2 linked regions of the Arabidopsis thaliana genome follow. The protein of the gene in region 1 interacts with the protein of each later gene in a pairwise test. Each region holds a gene or a part of one and is shown in the gene's direction. Other genes may lie near its edges.

Region 1 (6,186 bases):
TAACTGCTTGTGCTCATGGATCACTCTCTCCCCGGGAACTAGCAACAGGTTTGTCCATTCCCTGAAACTATAGAAAGTGTTATCTGCTTAATGACAAGGGGATACTTACCTACATCTGACGATCATAAGCTATTTTATTGTCTTACTGTCTGGATGCATCATAAACGCTACTTCAGAAGGTAGCTAATAGTTGGGTGGGCGAGATCTTAATCTGTCCCTTGATTTGTTTCAGGTCTTAAAATCTTGGCTGATTTTCTGCCGGCAACACTTGGAACCATGGTTAGCTACTTTTCTTCGGAAGTAACACGAGGTCTGTGGAAGCCCGTTTCCATGAACGGAACTGACTGGCCTAGTCCTGCTGCAAATTTAGCAAGCGTTGAGCAACAGATAGAGAAGATCTTAGCAGCTACTGGCGTTGACGTACCAAGGCTTCCAGCAGGTAATGCTTTTCTTCTCTAAGGATAATGGATATTCTCAGGTGTCCAGGGGTTTTGTCATGAAAGATTAGAACCTTAGATGCAGTCATGGCAGTCCCGGATAACATGTCCCTGGAGGGTCTTGCTTAGATTTGTAAACAATTGTGATATCTATAAAACTGAAACTGCGGAGAAAGTGTGAAAAGAACATGCTGGAAGAAACGAATACAATGATTATGCTGAAAAAACTCTCATAGTTTACACACGTCTGTCTTTGCAGATGGAATCTCTGCGGCTACACTTCCCTTGCCTCTCGCTGCACTAGTGAGCCTTACTATAACCTACAAGCTTGACAAAGCAACAGAGCGCTTCCTTGTACTTGTAGGACCGGCCTTAGACTCCCTTGCTGCTGCTTGCCCCTGGCCCTGCATGCCTATTGTGACATCGCTGTGGACCCAGAAAGTGAAGCGCTGGAGCGACTTTCTTATCTTTTCAGCCTCCAGAACTGTGTTCCACCACAACAGAGATGCTGTTATTCAGCTCCTCAGAAGCTGCTTCACTTGCACCCTTGGTCTAACACCTACTTCCCAACTCTGCAGCTATGGGGGAGTGGGTGCACTCCTTGGCCATGGCTTTGGGTCCCGTTACTCTGGAGGAATTTCCACAGCTGCCCCAGGAATCTTGTACATAAAAGTGCACAGATCGATCAGAGATGTCATGTTCCTGACAGAAGAAATCCTGTCTCTTCTGATGTTCTCTGTGAAGAGCATTGCCACGAGGGAGCTACCAGCAGGGCAAGCAGAGAAATTGAAGAAAACGAAAGATGGGTCGAGGTACGGGATTGGGCAGGTTTCACTTTCTTTAGCAATGAGACGTGTCAAGCTGGCAGCTTCCCTGGGAGCCTCTCTGGTGTGGATCTCCGGTGGCCTAAACCTGGTTCAGGCACTGATCAAGGAGACATTACCGTCTTGGTTCATCTCGGTTCACGGAGAAGAAGATGAGTTGGGAGGTATGGTTCCGATGCTAAGAGGCTATGCTTTAGCCTACTTTGCAATCCTGAGCAGTGCATTTGCCTGGGGAGTGGACTCCTCATATCCTGCATCAAAACGTCGGCCAAGGGTTCTGTGGCTGCATTTGGAGTTTATGGTGAGTGCCTTGGAAGGGAAGATATCACTGGGCTGTGATTGGGCGACATGGCAAGCTTACGTGACAGGCTTTGTGAGCCTGATGGTGCAATGCACGCCGGCTTGGGTGCTAGAGGTGGATGTTGAAGTAATAAAGAGACTAAGCAAAAGTCTGAGGCAGTGGAACGAGCAAGACTTGGCTCTGGCTCTGCTTTGTGCCGGCGGCCTTGGGACAATGGGTGCAGCTACAGAACTCATTGTGGAGACTTGCCATCAACATTAGCTTGACGTCTTTCAACTTTCTTTTCTCGACTAATCTAAACTGTGATCATGATCACTTTTGTTCCTGAGATTAGCTCTCTCTTTTTTTTTTTTGTTTGTCTATATTGTATATTATATTTATTATTTAGAGCAACATGATTCGCTATGTGTCACAGACACTGACTGGGGAAACAACATTAGATTATGAAAGGAAATGAAGCCAAGATTTTTCAGATTTCTTTGAGACATTTTTCAATTGAGCTACTAGTACTAAGCTACACCACGGGGTTTAATTTGTGAAATCCGAAACTAGGGAGACTAAATCCGAATAGATATAGATAGCCTAAGGGATTCGGGGCTGCAACAAAATCACTCCCACTCACTGCGAAGCTCGACTATGGCGGCGACGTCGCTGGTTCTGACGTGCGCATCCCCTCTATTCAGCAGCCCTCGGGTTATTTCTGCTACGAAGAAGCTGACTACAGAGTTGTCGATTTCTACAGGTCAGTTTCGCGGGGTTTAATTTGTGAAATCCAAAATTAGTTTGTTTCATCTAAAATGATCCTCTGCCGATGTCTCAGCTAAATTCCGAAGAAGATGCTCGGGAAACAATGATGAAGTGCTTCTAGAAGGAATGCCACCGGAGTATTACGATGATGTTCGTCTCCTCATCCTTTTTTTGTCTCTCAGTCTGATTTTTTCTAAGTCGGTTGGTTTTTTGATACCAGGAATGGCAAGCTCGACAGAGAGAGAAGACCAAAGAACTGCGGCGGATGCAGCGGGAGGAAGAAGAAGAAGAGGAGAGAAAGATTGAAGAATACCGTGAAATTGGCACGAGGTTGAAGGAATTTCCCGAGCAAGACTTAAGGAAAGCCAGAAAGCTCGTCTCCAGCTTCATCAGAGCTGCCGAGGAAGTCGAAGAGGTAAAAATCAAAGTCCCCTTCCTTCCTTATACAAGCAGGCAATTATTATTATTATGTATAAGACAATTTCTGTAGAGAATTGAAGAAGCAGCCGAGAAAGGAGAACTTGACGAGCTTGTCCTCATGATCATATGGAACCGGCTTGACCTTGCTAGGCGCGATGTAACATTTTTTTCCTTGTGAGTTATGCGTTTTCATGATGAAATGTTCCCTTAGATCCTGTGTTGCTTACTTTCAGGATGAGAAGGACGCCATCAGAAGTCTTGATCTTTTGTATAGAAGAGTCGAGGTAATTGTTTCTCTTCATTCTTTTCTATGCTATAAGATCTTGAGCTGCTGATGCTTTATATCACCATCTTCAAACTTACTCATTTGTCAAGGAAGATTATCAACTCGTATTAGTCAGCTTTAGGTGAAAGTGAATCCTTATATCGGGTGTTTCTCTATCCAGACAGAGATCTTAAAACGGCAAGCAAGTCCTGCAATGAAACTGCTGAATGATCTTCTAAATATGCATGATGGCTTTGAAGACGATGCTTGGCTCAAGGACTGCAGAAAACGAATGGCTGAGACCTTCCCCCGAGAAGACCCCTTCAGCATTCTAATGCCACCGGGATTCGACATTGATATGGTGCGTCCCTTTTTCTCTTTTTTGTTTTTTTTTATTGATAAAAACCTCTCAACAGCAAGAATCAATGCTGTGTTTGTAGCATCAAGGACAGTTGCGACCGCCCATTGAGACTGAGACAGACAACACCCTTCTGAGAGTAGACTTTGTAAGAGAAGTGGATGCACTGCTACAGGAAGTGAGGATAGAGGAAGACGCTACAACTGGTAGCAAAGGAGAAGGGCTTGATCCTGAAGCTATAGCACTTAAGTTTAAGCAACAGGAGAAGCAACGAACCATCCGCCAAATTGAAGCCATTCTTGATTTAGCCCTCAACTTGAAGTGGTAGGCAGTTAACTAGAATATCAATCTATACGCCATAATAATTTTTTTAAGATAGACCCTAGAGTTAGATTGATTCAGGCGTTTTTGTTTAGAAATGAATGGAGTCTAAATAATAGGTTTTGGCTAAAAATTCCAAATCCAAATGTTGCTGACTATCTCTCTGCTCATAGTCTCCACCACAATCATCTCTTCCTCTTTCAAAGTATAGTATGGCCTTTACTTTTCCGGTTCCACGATACACTCCGCCAGTCTCCTAACAGCTCCTCAACCACCGCTCTGTGTCCAGACGGTGGAGGGAGGGGACATTGATAAATTTCGGTCTGGGAGCTGATATGGACGTGAGAAGCTTGACCGAAGAAGGTAGAGGTTAAAAAAACATTTTCCGATGATACAAGTAAAACGACTGATTTCTGGATCTCAGATCAAAAAAACCCGTATAAATGGGCCATGTTGAGCCACTAATGGGCCTCAATACTATGAGATTTTAAGTGACAGCTCTGCTTCTTGCATCCTTCAAAGCATAAGTTTGAACACCCGCGGTTTTGTTTTGAGCGGCTGGAATATGTAGGACAGAAGATACAGGTGAGGATAACGATCTCTCATCTTAAAAGATCAAAAGAACGGTTCTTTTCTTTCTTTCTTTTTTTTAACCCGATTTTTCGTCTTGGGATCATGCAGGACATAGCAATGGCTGAACGTTTTGGACGCACCAGGGAAGTGGTTGCAAGAGAAGCATAGATGTCTATTAATGAACAAATTCTGCGGCCGGTATCTTAGAGAAAAACGTCTTCACAACTTTATAATATACTCAGAGGAGGTTCATGATCGGTATGAACATAACCGGAGACTTAGGAATCCGGCGACAACCGCTGTTCAACAAGCCATTCACGGCCTCGCCTACACCATCTACGGGAAACCCGATGTTCGGCGGCTCATGTTTGAGGTTTTCGACTTCGAACAAATCCAACCTAAAGCTGTCTGAAAATCGAAGCTGTCTCTCTCATTTGTCTAATGTCTTTTAGTATACTACTGGGTTTGATTTATGTAGTTAAATACTTCATTACCTTTGGTGAAAAGTTGAAAACTTTAAACTAGCAAAATGAGTTTCATCAGTATAATCTTAGGTTCATCAGTTTCAAATTTGTTGCTACCAATTCAAAGAGCTTCTTCTTATGGTTGCATACCTTGAGAAGAGAAACTGAATGTTGTGAGTAAAGTTTCTTCTTAAGGTATTTTGTAGTTTCCAGGTCTGCAAGTGAGTAAAGCTCCTGGTTAAATCCATGTATGAGCTGCATCTCCCCACTTGAGCTCTTCTAAAGCTACCCTCAGCGAATGGAGTTGAAATTGTGTTTAGATGCAACAGGCTCCAATTTAGCTATAATCTGCTCAACAGCGTCTAAAACTGCAGCACCATACATATCAGAGCTCGCAGAAGCAGCAGTAGGTGACGCGTTAGGAACCTATTAAGAGGCAATCAAAACGACAAGAGAGCAATAACAGTGTGTGAGGCATTTGGAACCTATTAAGAGACCACAAAAGATAAGAGAGAACAATATCAGTTTTGTCTTGGCCAAAAAGTCCACTGAGTGCATGTAACCGAGTTAGATGTACCTTGTATGTGCTTGATTCTGACACAAAAACTGACTAAGGGGAATGACACAACCTTTTTATGCAAATCCTTGACCCATTTCAACACCTCCATGTGTCACCAAAACAGTCCCATTGGTGCAAACATGAACAAAAGCACCGGCCTGTAATAATAATATGTGTTGGAGTAAGTATCTTAAAATCCAGATTCTAGATTTGCAAGCAAAGGTAGTGCAATGCTGAGATTTCCAAGAAGCTTTATCTTATTCTTTTAACTTTAAAGTTCCTCGAGAGATGACTAAATTTGAAAAAAAAGGATTCACTTCAAACATGATTCATGAACTTTGTTGTAAATGAATATGACAAATTGTGTGGGAACCATAGCTACACCACACCATGCAATGTGCAGAAGAGAGTGAGATTAATGTGTGATGGGATCTTTGCAGTTGAAAGTTCATCTCCTAAAGTCAAGAAAACATTAACTAACAAAATGAGGACAAACTTTTACCAATTTTCACATTTTTAGAAATATATTCAACTCACTTTGATTTCTTCAGGGGCTCAGCTGAATCTAGTTTTCAATGGTTGCAGAACAAAATGAAAATGAAAATTTTAGTATCTCAAAATCTAGTTTCTATTTTTTTTTGGTGACATTAATCAATGATTTCAAAATAACCAAAAACCTCAGAATAAACTCAATTGCATCTTAAAACCACACAACTTTCATAACTGAAGAATGACGAAAAACAAAATAATAGAGGAGGAGCATCACTACTATTTTCATTTTTTTAGCCAATCAGAGTGCACTAGACAACGCCCACTCGCACCAATCTCGCGTCACGCGCTCCAGACCACGCCCACTCGCACGAACCTCGCGTTGAGCGCGTGTGGTCGATTTCTGTAGGGGTAAACCCACAAAATCA
Region 2 (8,291 bases), about 11 Mb from region 1:
GATTATCACTGTGTTCCTATATTCCTTTTTAACTGTTGCATGTTGGTTCCTCACTGCCCAAGAGGTTTGATACCTGATTGACTCATTCTGTTTTCTTTCTGCTCTTCAGAAGTTAGACTCTCTGCTCTTGGATAGTGATAATCTGGCATCTCCATCTTCGACTCTCTCTCTAGCATCAGATGCGCGACGGTCTTCCAGCAAGTTTAAGGATGAAAACTCTCCAGTTGGTTCTCGTGCAGAATTAACTCAAGTAAGTTCTGGGATTCTTAGCGTATATAGTTTTACATTGAATTTCGTTTATTAGAAGTTTGGTGTATTCTTGTTTTCAATCCAAATGGTTACAGAAAAGGGTGTTTAATGATTCAGTGTCGCATGCACCCATTTAACCTTTCTTTTATCCCATGAATATGATTTTTTCAGTGTTTTTATCAGAAAATGACATTTGATAGTTGTGGCTATTACAGGGCGTTATGACTCCCGATGAAATGGATCTCCTCGTTGAGCAAGTTAAGATGCTTGCTGGTGAGATAGCTTTCGGCACAAGCACACTAAAGCGTTTGGTGGATCAGTCCATGAATGATCCTGAAAACTCGAAAACCCAAGTAAAGATTCTTCTTTATCTATCTAGAGAATTATATACCAGTATGACTGTGGTCTCCCTAATTTCAAGTTTTAACCCTGAAAATCAGAAAATGCATCTCCAGATGCTGAACTTTATTAGCATTCCACTTTAAGCCATTTATTTACCTATAAGCATAACTACGGAACTTATTATATGCTGGCATGCAGATCCAGAATCTAGAAAATGATATTCAAGAAAAGCAAAGACAAATGAAATCCTTGGAACAGAGAATAACTGAGAGTGGTGAAGCTTCAATTGCTAATGCATCATCGATTGAGATGCAAGAGGTAACCTAATCTATACATCTTATATTTATGATCCTTTACCCTCTTAAGGTCATTCAGTTGTGGACACAGTGTGGATCAGCTAAAGGTATTACAATTATTTTTGTTGTTTTCAGAAAGTTATGAGATTGATGACACAATGCAATGAGAAGAGCTTTGAGCTGGAGGTAAAATGTCTCTCTAGAATGAAATGTCTTCTTCTATAGCGAATATGGAAGATTTCTCAAGTCAATATATATATTTAAATGTGTTCTACCTATGGATCAGATTATATCAGCAGATAATCGTATTCTCCAAGAACAACTACAGACAAAGGTCACTTCTAAGTCACGGACTCCTTTTATTCTTTTATTCTTTTTTATTTTTCATATACAGCATTTTCTTGTGGCTATTATCTCAGTCATCCTTACTTATATACACATGCTCTAACAACTGCAGTGTACCGAGAACAATGAATTGCACGAAAAGGTGCATCTTCTAGAGCAACGATTATCGAGTCAGAAGGCCACACTGTCTTGTTGTGATGTTGTGACTGAAGAGTATGTAGATGAGCTGAAAAAGAAAGTACAGTCTCAGGTAATTTCTCAAAATCTCAACCAATTTTGTCAAATTTGCGACCATGCATTCTCACAAGTATGCCTGAATCCTGATAAATATCTTCACTGGTTGCGAGGAGATTGTGAAAACACATATAATGATATATATGTTTAATGGACCTCTCATTGTATTTACATGAGCGTTTGATGTTTTCATACTTCAGGAGATTGAGAACGAAAAGTTGAAGCTAGAGCATGTGCAGAGTGTGGAGGAGAAGAGTGGATTACGAGTGCAAAATCAAAAATTAGCTGAAGAAGCTTCATATGCAAAAGAATTGGCCTCTGCAGCTGCTATTGAGCTGAAGAATCTAGCTGATGAAGTTACAAAGCTCTCGCTTCAAAACGCAAAGCTAGAAAAAGAATTAGTAGCTGCAAGAGACTTGGCAGCGGCAGCTCAGAAGCGTAACAACAACTCCATGAACAGCGCAGCGAACCGTAATGGAACAAGGCCAGGGAGAAAGGCAAGGATCTCAGACTCATGGAACCTCAACCAAGAAAATCTCACAATGGAATTGCAGGCAAGGAAACAGCGAGAAGCAGTACTTGAGGCTGCACTAGCTGAGAAAGAATACATAGAAGAAGAGTTTAGGAAAAAAGCTGAAGAAGCAAAGAGAAGAGAAGAGGCCCTTGAAAACGATTTAGCCAACATGTGGGTGCTTGTTGCCAAGTTGAAGAAAGCCAATAGTGGCGCCTTGTCAATACAAAAGAGTGACGAAGCAGAGCCTGCAAAGGAAGATGAAGTGACAGAGTTAGATAATAAGAATGAACAAAATGCAATCTTGAAAGAGAGGCAACTCGTGAATGGACATGAAGAAGTAATAGTTGCCAAGGCTGAAGAGACACCAAAGGAGGAACCTCTTGTTGCTCGTCTTAAGGTAAACCTTTTACAAATTTGCTTTCTATTTTCTTTCAGCATTCTTAGTTTTCTATAAGCCTACTCCACAGTCTAGCGGTAGGCAAATCTAGATATCCATTACCTGTTCGCTCCATATCCTTTATGCCATGACCTTCGGATCAGGCAACATATATTAAAACCTTCAAAACACCCAGAATATATGGTTCAAAATATGTAAATAGCTTTACCTGATCCAATATATTCTAATATCATGTCCTCCTATCTATAATACAAGTGACTGTTACGGATAATTAAGTCAAGCTACTTGTGGGTATTGAATATTTATCTGGTTTTTCGGGGACATGGAACTTGTGTACCCATGTGTGAGCTTCTATCTTGTACGGGTAATGAAAATCATGAATCATCATCTCACACGTTCAAACAATATGAGCTTTAATAAATAAAAAAACTACTTGTTTTCTTGTTCTGCATTTGATGCTTTATATACATAACAGGCAAGAATGCAAGAGATGAAAGAGAAAGAGATGAAATCTCAGGCGGCTGCAGCAGCTAATGCTGATGCAAACTCACATATATGTAAAGTCTGTTTTGAGTCGCCGACCGCCACAATTCTCCTCCCTTGCCGTCATTTCTGCCGTAAGTCTCACTCTCACATTACCTGAGGATCCTTCATTAAGTACTAAGTAATCCTAAAACGATCACAATCTCTCCTTTTATGCAGTCTGTAAATCTTGTTCACTTGCCTGCTCTGAGTGCCCAATCTGCCGAACCAAGATCTCTGATCGCCTGTTCGCCTTCCCGTCTTGACCTGCGGCAAGTATAGTCACTCTCCTACACACAGTATAAGGTAATTCCAATATTTCCCACCTTCACAAAATCTTTAAAATCCAAATTCTTTAGTTCAAAAACATTAGGCAATCTTTTTATTGAAAGACAATTGTATGTGATTTTGCAGGTATAAAGAACTATATGGAAGTCTGTTTGTTTGCTAACATTTTCCAGAACGGCAGGCTCGAATTCTTTTATTACAAGTTGTTTTTTGTTTTCTTGTATGTAATGTCTTTGTTATATCTTTCTGTTCAAAATGTGGTAAAGAAAGAGGAAACATAACATGCTAACAGAAAAATAGGAAACATATCATAGCCGTTTCATAGTAAGTTCAAAATTTGAAGTAAGTAATTAAAAATTATTTTGCTAATTCATGAAATTTGTGTACAGTTTTTTAGAAAAAACATACAGTTGTACAATGGAGAATAGTGTACGAATGCAACAGTGATACACAAGAACACCAAACTACACCAATTATCATCGATGAATTACTGCAAACCACACAAACCTTTGATCTCTTCTAACTTATATTGTAATTTTTAATTTTAATAATAATTTTTACTTAGTTATATCTATGCTAAATTCTTATTTTTTTTTAAGAAATTTAATACATACCGAATTTAATACACCAATAACACATGTAAATATTTTTGGATCAGAGTGGTTGTTACGGCCCAATGGATCTAGTGAGCCTAAATGATACGACCATATATTGTTTTTTTTTCGGTTTTCGCCAACGAGGATTTGGTTACCGAGAGTTTGTTTGAACGGTCCTCAGAAATTCGGAGCTTGTAGCTTCTCGGTGCGGTGCCTTCACTTTAATGGCGGCAATATCCCCTGTTCAATGCTTATTCTCTTGCAATTCTCATCATCATCATCAACAACGCGAGCAGGTGAATCTCTCTGTTCTTATTTCTTCATAATTAGCGAGAACTACCTTCTTCTTGTTATGACTTCATTCCTCCGTTTTTTTCAAGTAGAGTGGGTCGCTTTGGAGATTGGGTTCTAGGGTTTTAGTATCTTCGAGTCTATGGAAGCTTTCTCTGTTCTCTGGACTCCATTTGAACCGAAGGTGATTATGTTCTAGTTAACGATTTCAGTAGGATTTGGCCCTTGAAGCGATGATTCTGTGTAATGCAGTTGGATATGAGATAATTGATTGCAATCTTTTGGGTCTAATAAAACAGGAGAACTTTGATCTGTGCAGTCAAGGGAGATCCAGAAGATGCCTTTAAGAAGACTGTCGAAATCGATCGGATGATTGATGCTCTTAGAGATGCAAACCCTAGACAAGTAAGGAAACATGTCATATGCATCGTATAAATGTTGTGTTTTTGCTCTATTATCTTGAGTAAATTGAGTTTTGTTTTGTTGTTGTTGCCATTTTCATTGAACAGGTTGAGAAGATTGTTGTTGAAAATATCCTTGCTTTTGATGAGGTTTTTTGGATAAGACTAGCAGCTAGGTCGGATACTTGTAAATCAGAAGATGACAAGGCATGAGTTTATATTGTTTATGTCAATGATAGAGCAGACTTTTGATCTCTTTTGTTTCCGCTAATGCTTTGAATACGGTTTGTTTCTTACAGAAGGACTATGAGGAGTTAGCTACAACTGTGATGACTATAGTTGACTGTGTTGTGAATAAGACTCGGGTTTCTCTTTCTTCTGTGGTTTTATTGTCTCTTCTTCTTCAGCGTTTACTTAAACAGGGATAACTGAGAGTTCATTATATCCCTTTAGGAAAAGATAGAGACGTCTACTGATATTCTGAAAGGGATTTTAAGACCTGCTATAGATGGAGTGGAAGAGATTTCATGGCCGCCAAGAGATCCTGAAGCCATCAATCTAATGAAAAAGGTTTATACTAGTTGTTCTTCACTTTCTACTACATCTACACATTTTTTATATATACAACCTATATTCAGAAGGGTTATCTGGTCTTAGATTCTGTGATTTGATATCGTCATGGTTACTGAGATCAGTGTATTAACAGGAAATTATACAACGGGAAAAAGAAGGGCAATTAGATGAAGGATTTCTTTCAGAAGTTAATGCTCAGCTCCGGCAGGTAAGTGCTACAATTTGTTTTGTTTCACTTCTGAGGTCTTTCCTTTACAGTGAATAGATGTATTCTTTTGAATGTTTGAGGCTGACGATTGTTTTCAGGCAAAAGAAGATAAAGACAAACCAGGGTTATTGGCTATGCTGCAAAAAGTTCTTCAACTCTATTCTGCTACTATCCTCTCCAAGCGTAGCTACGCAAAGAAAGGTGATTTGCCCAATTTTGAAAACTATGCCAAGTCACTCTAAACCATTTTCTACGAACATAATCTCATCCACTATAGCTATTGTCACAGGGAACGAAGTTGTAAAAGCCGAGCATTTTCTTGAAACTCTGATCAAAGGTCTGTTCTGCAACCACTTTTCCATGTACTATAGACCCCAGCCAGACTTCACATCGGTTTATTATGTGTGTTTCAGCTCCTGAGGAACAATGGAACAAGCTTTTCGTAGACGGGTTAACAATCGGAAAAGGAGATATCACACCTGATGAGCTATCTGCTGTTATCAAGAAACGAATCGAGCGCACACTGATTCGAACTGTAAGTAACATACCATGACACATTTGCTTGCATTGTTATTATTCTCTTCAGGAGTGAATGCGAGGCTAACCGGGTTTTGGGTTGGGGTTTTAACCAGATATTGTTTTCTAAAATTCATCATTCTAACCACAACTATTCTGATCATACCAGGAAGGGGGTTCATACCAGCAGCGAATTTTGACCGAGTATCTCAAAGGAATCGAGTCCAGGGCTAATGAAATTATGAAATTACTCCAGGGTTAATGTCGTAAATCATGTATTTATCTATACATTTTTGTGTAATATCAGTTCAATAACCCCAATTAATATATTGTTTTCTCTCATGTAATAATTTTTTGATTGAGCATTTGAAGTGTTATCTGATTTAAAAATATGAAGCTCTGTAGTCAAAATTTTACAGATTTTAATTATCTTGGAATAAAAAATGTAAAGTTGATGCTTCCATATAAAATAAAAGTAAAAATGAGTAATTCATGCCAATTAAATTAGCGAGACGCAAATTGGAGACAGAGATAACTGAGCGGAGGGATTCAGATCTATACGACGAAACTGAATCTCACCGTCTTCTTCTTCTTCTTCTTCTTCTAGACGATCCTTGTGTTTCTCTTGCTCTCGCATCCACGCTTCTCTGGTAATGCTACTGATCGTCACCGTGAAGCTGAGCTTGATCGCTTCCCCTTGTGAACTGATCTGATCTGAGGTGAATCTCTATTTCTTCTCCTTCTTCATTGTACGAATCTCGATTTCTCGGATCTTGCTGCTTCTTATCGTTAGATCTGTTTTCAATTTCACGTGGATTACGTTTTTTTTCTTCCTTTTGCGGGTTTTTCGATTTCTTTGAACTGATCTTTCTCCATGATTTTCATTCTCTGTTGATCTGGTTTTTGTAGAGTTGTTTCTGTTTCGTAATCTGTGAATATGCTGACCAAGTTCGAGACCAAGAGTAACCGAGTTAAGGGTCTGAGTTTCCACCCTAAACGACCATGGATTCTCGCGAGTTTACACAGTGGTGTGATCCAGCTCTGGGATTATCGTATGGGTACTTTGATCGACAGATTTGATGAGCACGAAGGACCTGTTCGTGGTGTTCATTTCCACAACTCACAGCCTTTATTCGTCTCTGGAGGTATGCTTTGTTATTGGTAGGCCAATAAGTCTGTTTATTACACTTTCATGATCGATAAATCCTGATCTGCTTAAGTATTAACCCTTAGCTAGTTAGCTTCCTCGGTTCCTAGATCTAGCTTGGTCTCCCAACCTTTGTTTAATGGATGACTTAAGCTCTTATAGTCCCAGCTGGAGTAAATAATTTGTGTTTAAGTTACTTATATAACATATTGGATGATTTGGACCTAGTGCATTGAAACCAGATCTTATGGTACATGTTGCATAGTATTTTATTTGAACATAAGTAAGTACTCAAACAACTAGAAATGCAAATGGCTTGGATTCTTCTTCGTTACAGTTATAATGCTCTTACAGAACATTACTCATATGTAGTTGATGGCATTGATTACATTGGATGTTGCAGGGGATGATTACAAGATTAAAGTTTGGAACTACAAAACTCACAGGTGTCTTTTCACTCTTCTCGGGCATCTTGATTATATCCGCACTGTCCAATTTCACCACGAAAACCCATGGATTGTGAGTGCTAGTGACGATCAGACTATCCGCATTTGGAACTGGCAGTCTAGGACTTGTATTTCCGTGTTGACTGGTCACAATCATTATGTTATGTGTGCTTCTTTCCATCCAAAGGAAGATCTTGTTGTATCAGCATCACTGGATCAGACTGTCCGTGTTTGGGACATTGGTGCTCTTAAGAAGAAGTCAGCATCTCCTGCTGATGACCTCATGCGATTTAGTCAGATGAATTCTGATCTTTTTGGAGGGGTTGACGCTATAGTTAAGTACGTCCTTGAAGGTCATGATAGAGGAGTCAACTGGGCTTCTTTTCATCCCACACTTCCTCTCATTGTCTCTGGTGCCGATGACCGCCAAGTAAAGCTGTGGCGTATGAATGGTATTTCTTATGGATATCTGTCTTCTTCTTCACAGAAAGTTAATTTTATGAATCATTGAGGTACTGATGCGTTTCAATTTTGTTGCAGAAACTAAAGCTTGGGAGGTGGATACATTGCGAGGTCATATGAATAACGTTTCATCCGTTATGTTCCATGCAAAACAGGACATTATCGTGTCAAACTCTGAGGATAAAAGCATCCGTGTCTGGGATGCTACCAAGCGAACTGGAATCCAAACTTTTCGTCGTGAGCATGACCGATTCTGGATTCTTGCAGTTCACCCTGAGATTAATCTACTTGCAGCAGGACATGACAATGGTATGATTGTTTTCAAACTTGAGAGAGAACGTCCTGCATTTGCTTTGAGTGGTGATTCGTTATTCTATGCCAAAGATAGATTTCTGCGGTACTATGAATATTCAACTCAAAAAGATTCCCAAGTTATTCCTATACGGCGTCCTGGTACCCCAAGC

The links. Proteins that work in one complex are often made in the same cells at the same time.
Region 2: the proteins of PAC (region 1) and AT2G21385 interact in a two-hybrid assay, tested with the Arabidopsis thaliana proteins (one large-scale study listed by BioGRID).

What each region holds. Positions count from the first base shown.
Region 1 is NC_003071.7:19,677,672-19,683,857, forward strand, and holds PAC (pale cress protein (PAC)), read left to right. Parts: upstream 1-2,058; 5' UTR 2,059-2,198; coding exon 2,199-2,304; intron 2,305-2,382; coding exon 2,383-2,459; intron 2,460-2,529; coding exon 2,530-2,724; intron 2,725-2,799; coding exon 2,800-2,886; intron 2,887-2,962; coding exon 2,963-3,013; intron 3,014-3,175; coding exon 3,176-3,355; intron 3,356-3,434; coding exon 3,435-3,680; 3' UTR 3,681-3,875; downstream 3,876-6,186. Other genes in the region: AT2G48121 (ribonuclease III family protein), read left to right, coding at 4,425-4,658. UniProt on the Arabidopsis thaliana protein: Required for the differentiation of chloroplast from proplastids or etioplasts, probably by modulating some chloroplast-encoded genes expression and mRNA maturation. Involved in leaf-cells differentiation.
Region 2 is NC_003071.7:9,145,719-9,154,009, forward strand, and holds AT2G21385 (uncharacterized protein), read left to right. Parts: upstream 1-3,858; 5' UTR 3,859-4,007; coding exon 4,008-4,079; intron 4,080-4,166; coding exon 4,167-4,258; exon of another isoform or gene 4,259-4,373; coding exon 4,374-4,479; intron 4,480-4,583; coding exon 4,584-4,682; intron 4,683-4,774; coding exon 4,775-4,840; intron 4,841-4,928; coding exon 4,929-5,045; intron 5,046-5,181; coding exon 5,182-5,256; intron 5,257-5,354; coding exon 5,355-5,457; intron 5,458-5,545; coding exon 5,546-5,593; coding exon of another isoform or gene 5,594-5,669; coding exon 5,670-5,791; intron 5,792-5,941; coding exon 5,942-6,034; 3' UTR 6,035-6,252; downstream 6,253-8,291. Other genes in the region: AT2G21380 (Kinesin motor family protein), read left to right, coding at 110-250, 465-602, 790-909, 1,023-1,073, 1,174-1,221, 1,345-1,482, 1,667-2,377, 2,853-2,994 and 1 more; AT2G21390 (Coatomer, alpha subunit), read left to right, coding at 6,710-6,917, 7,323-7,817, 7,906-8,291.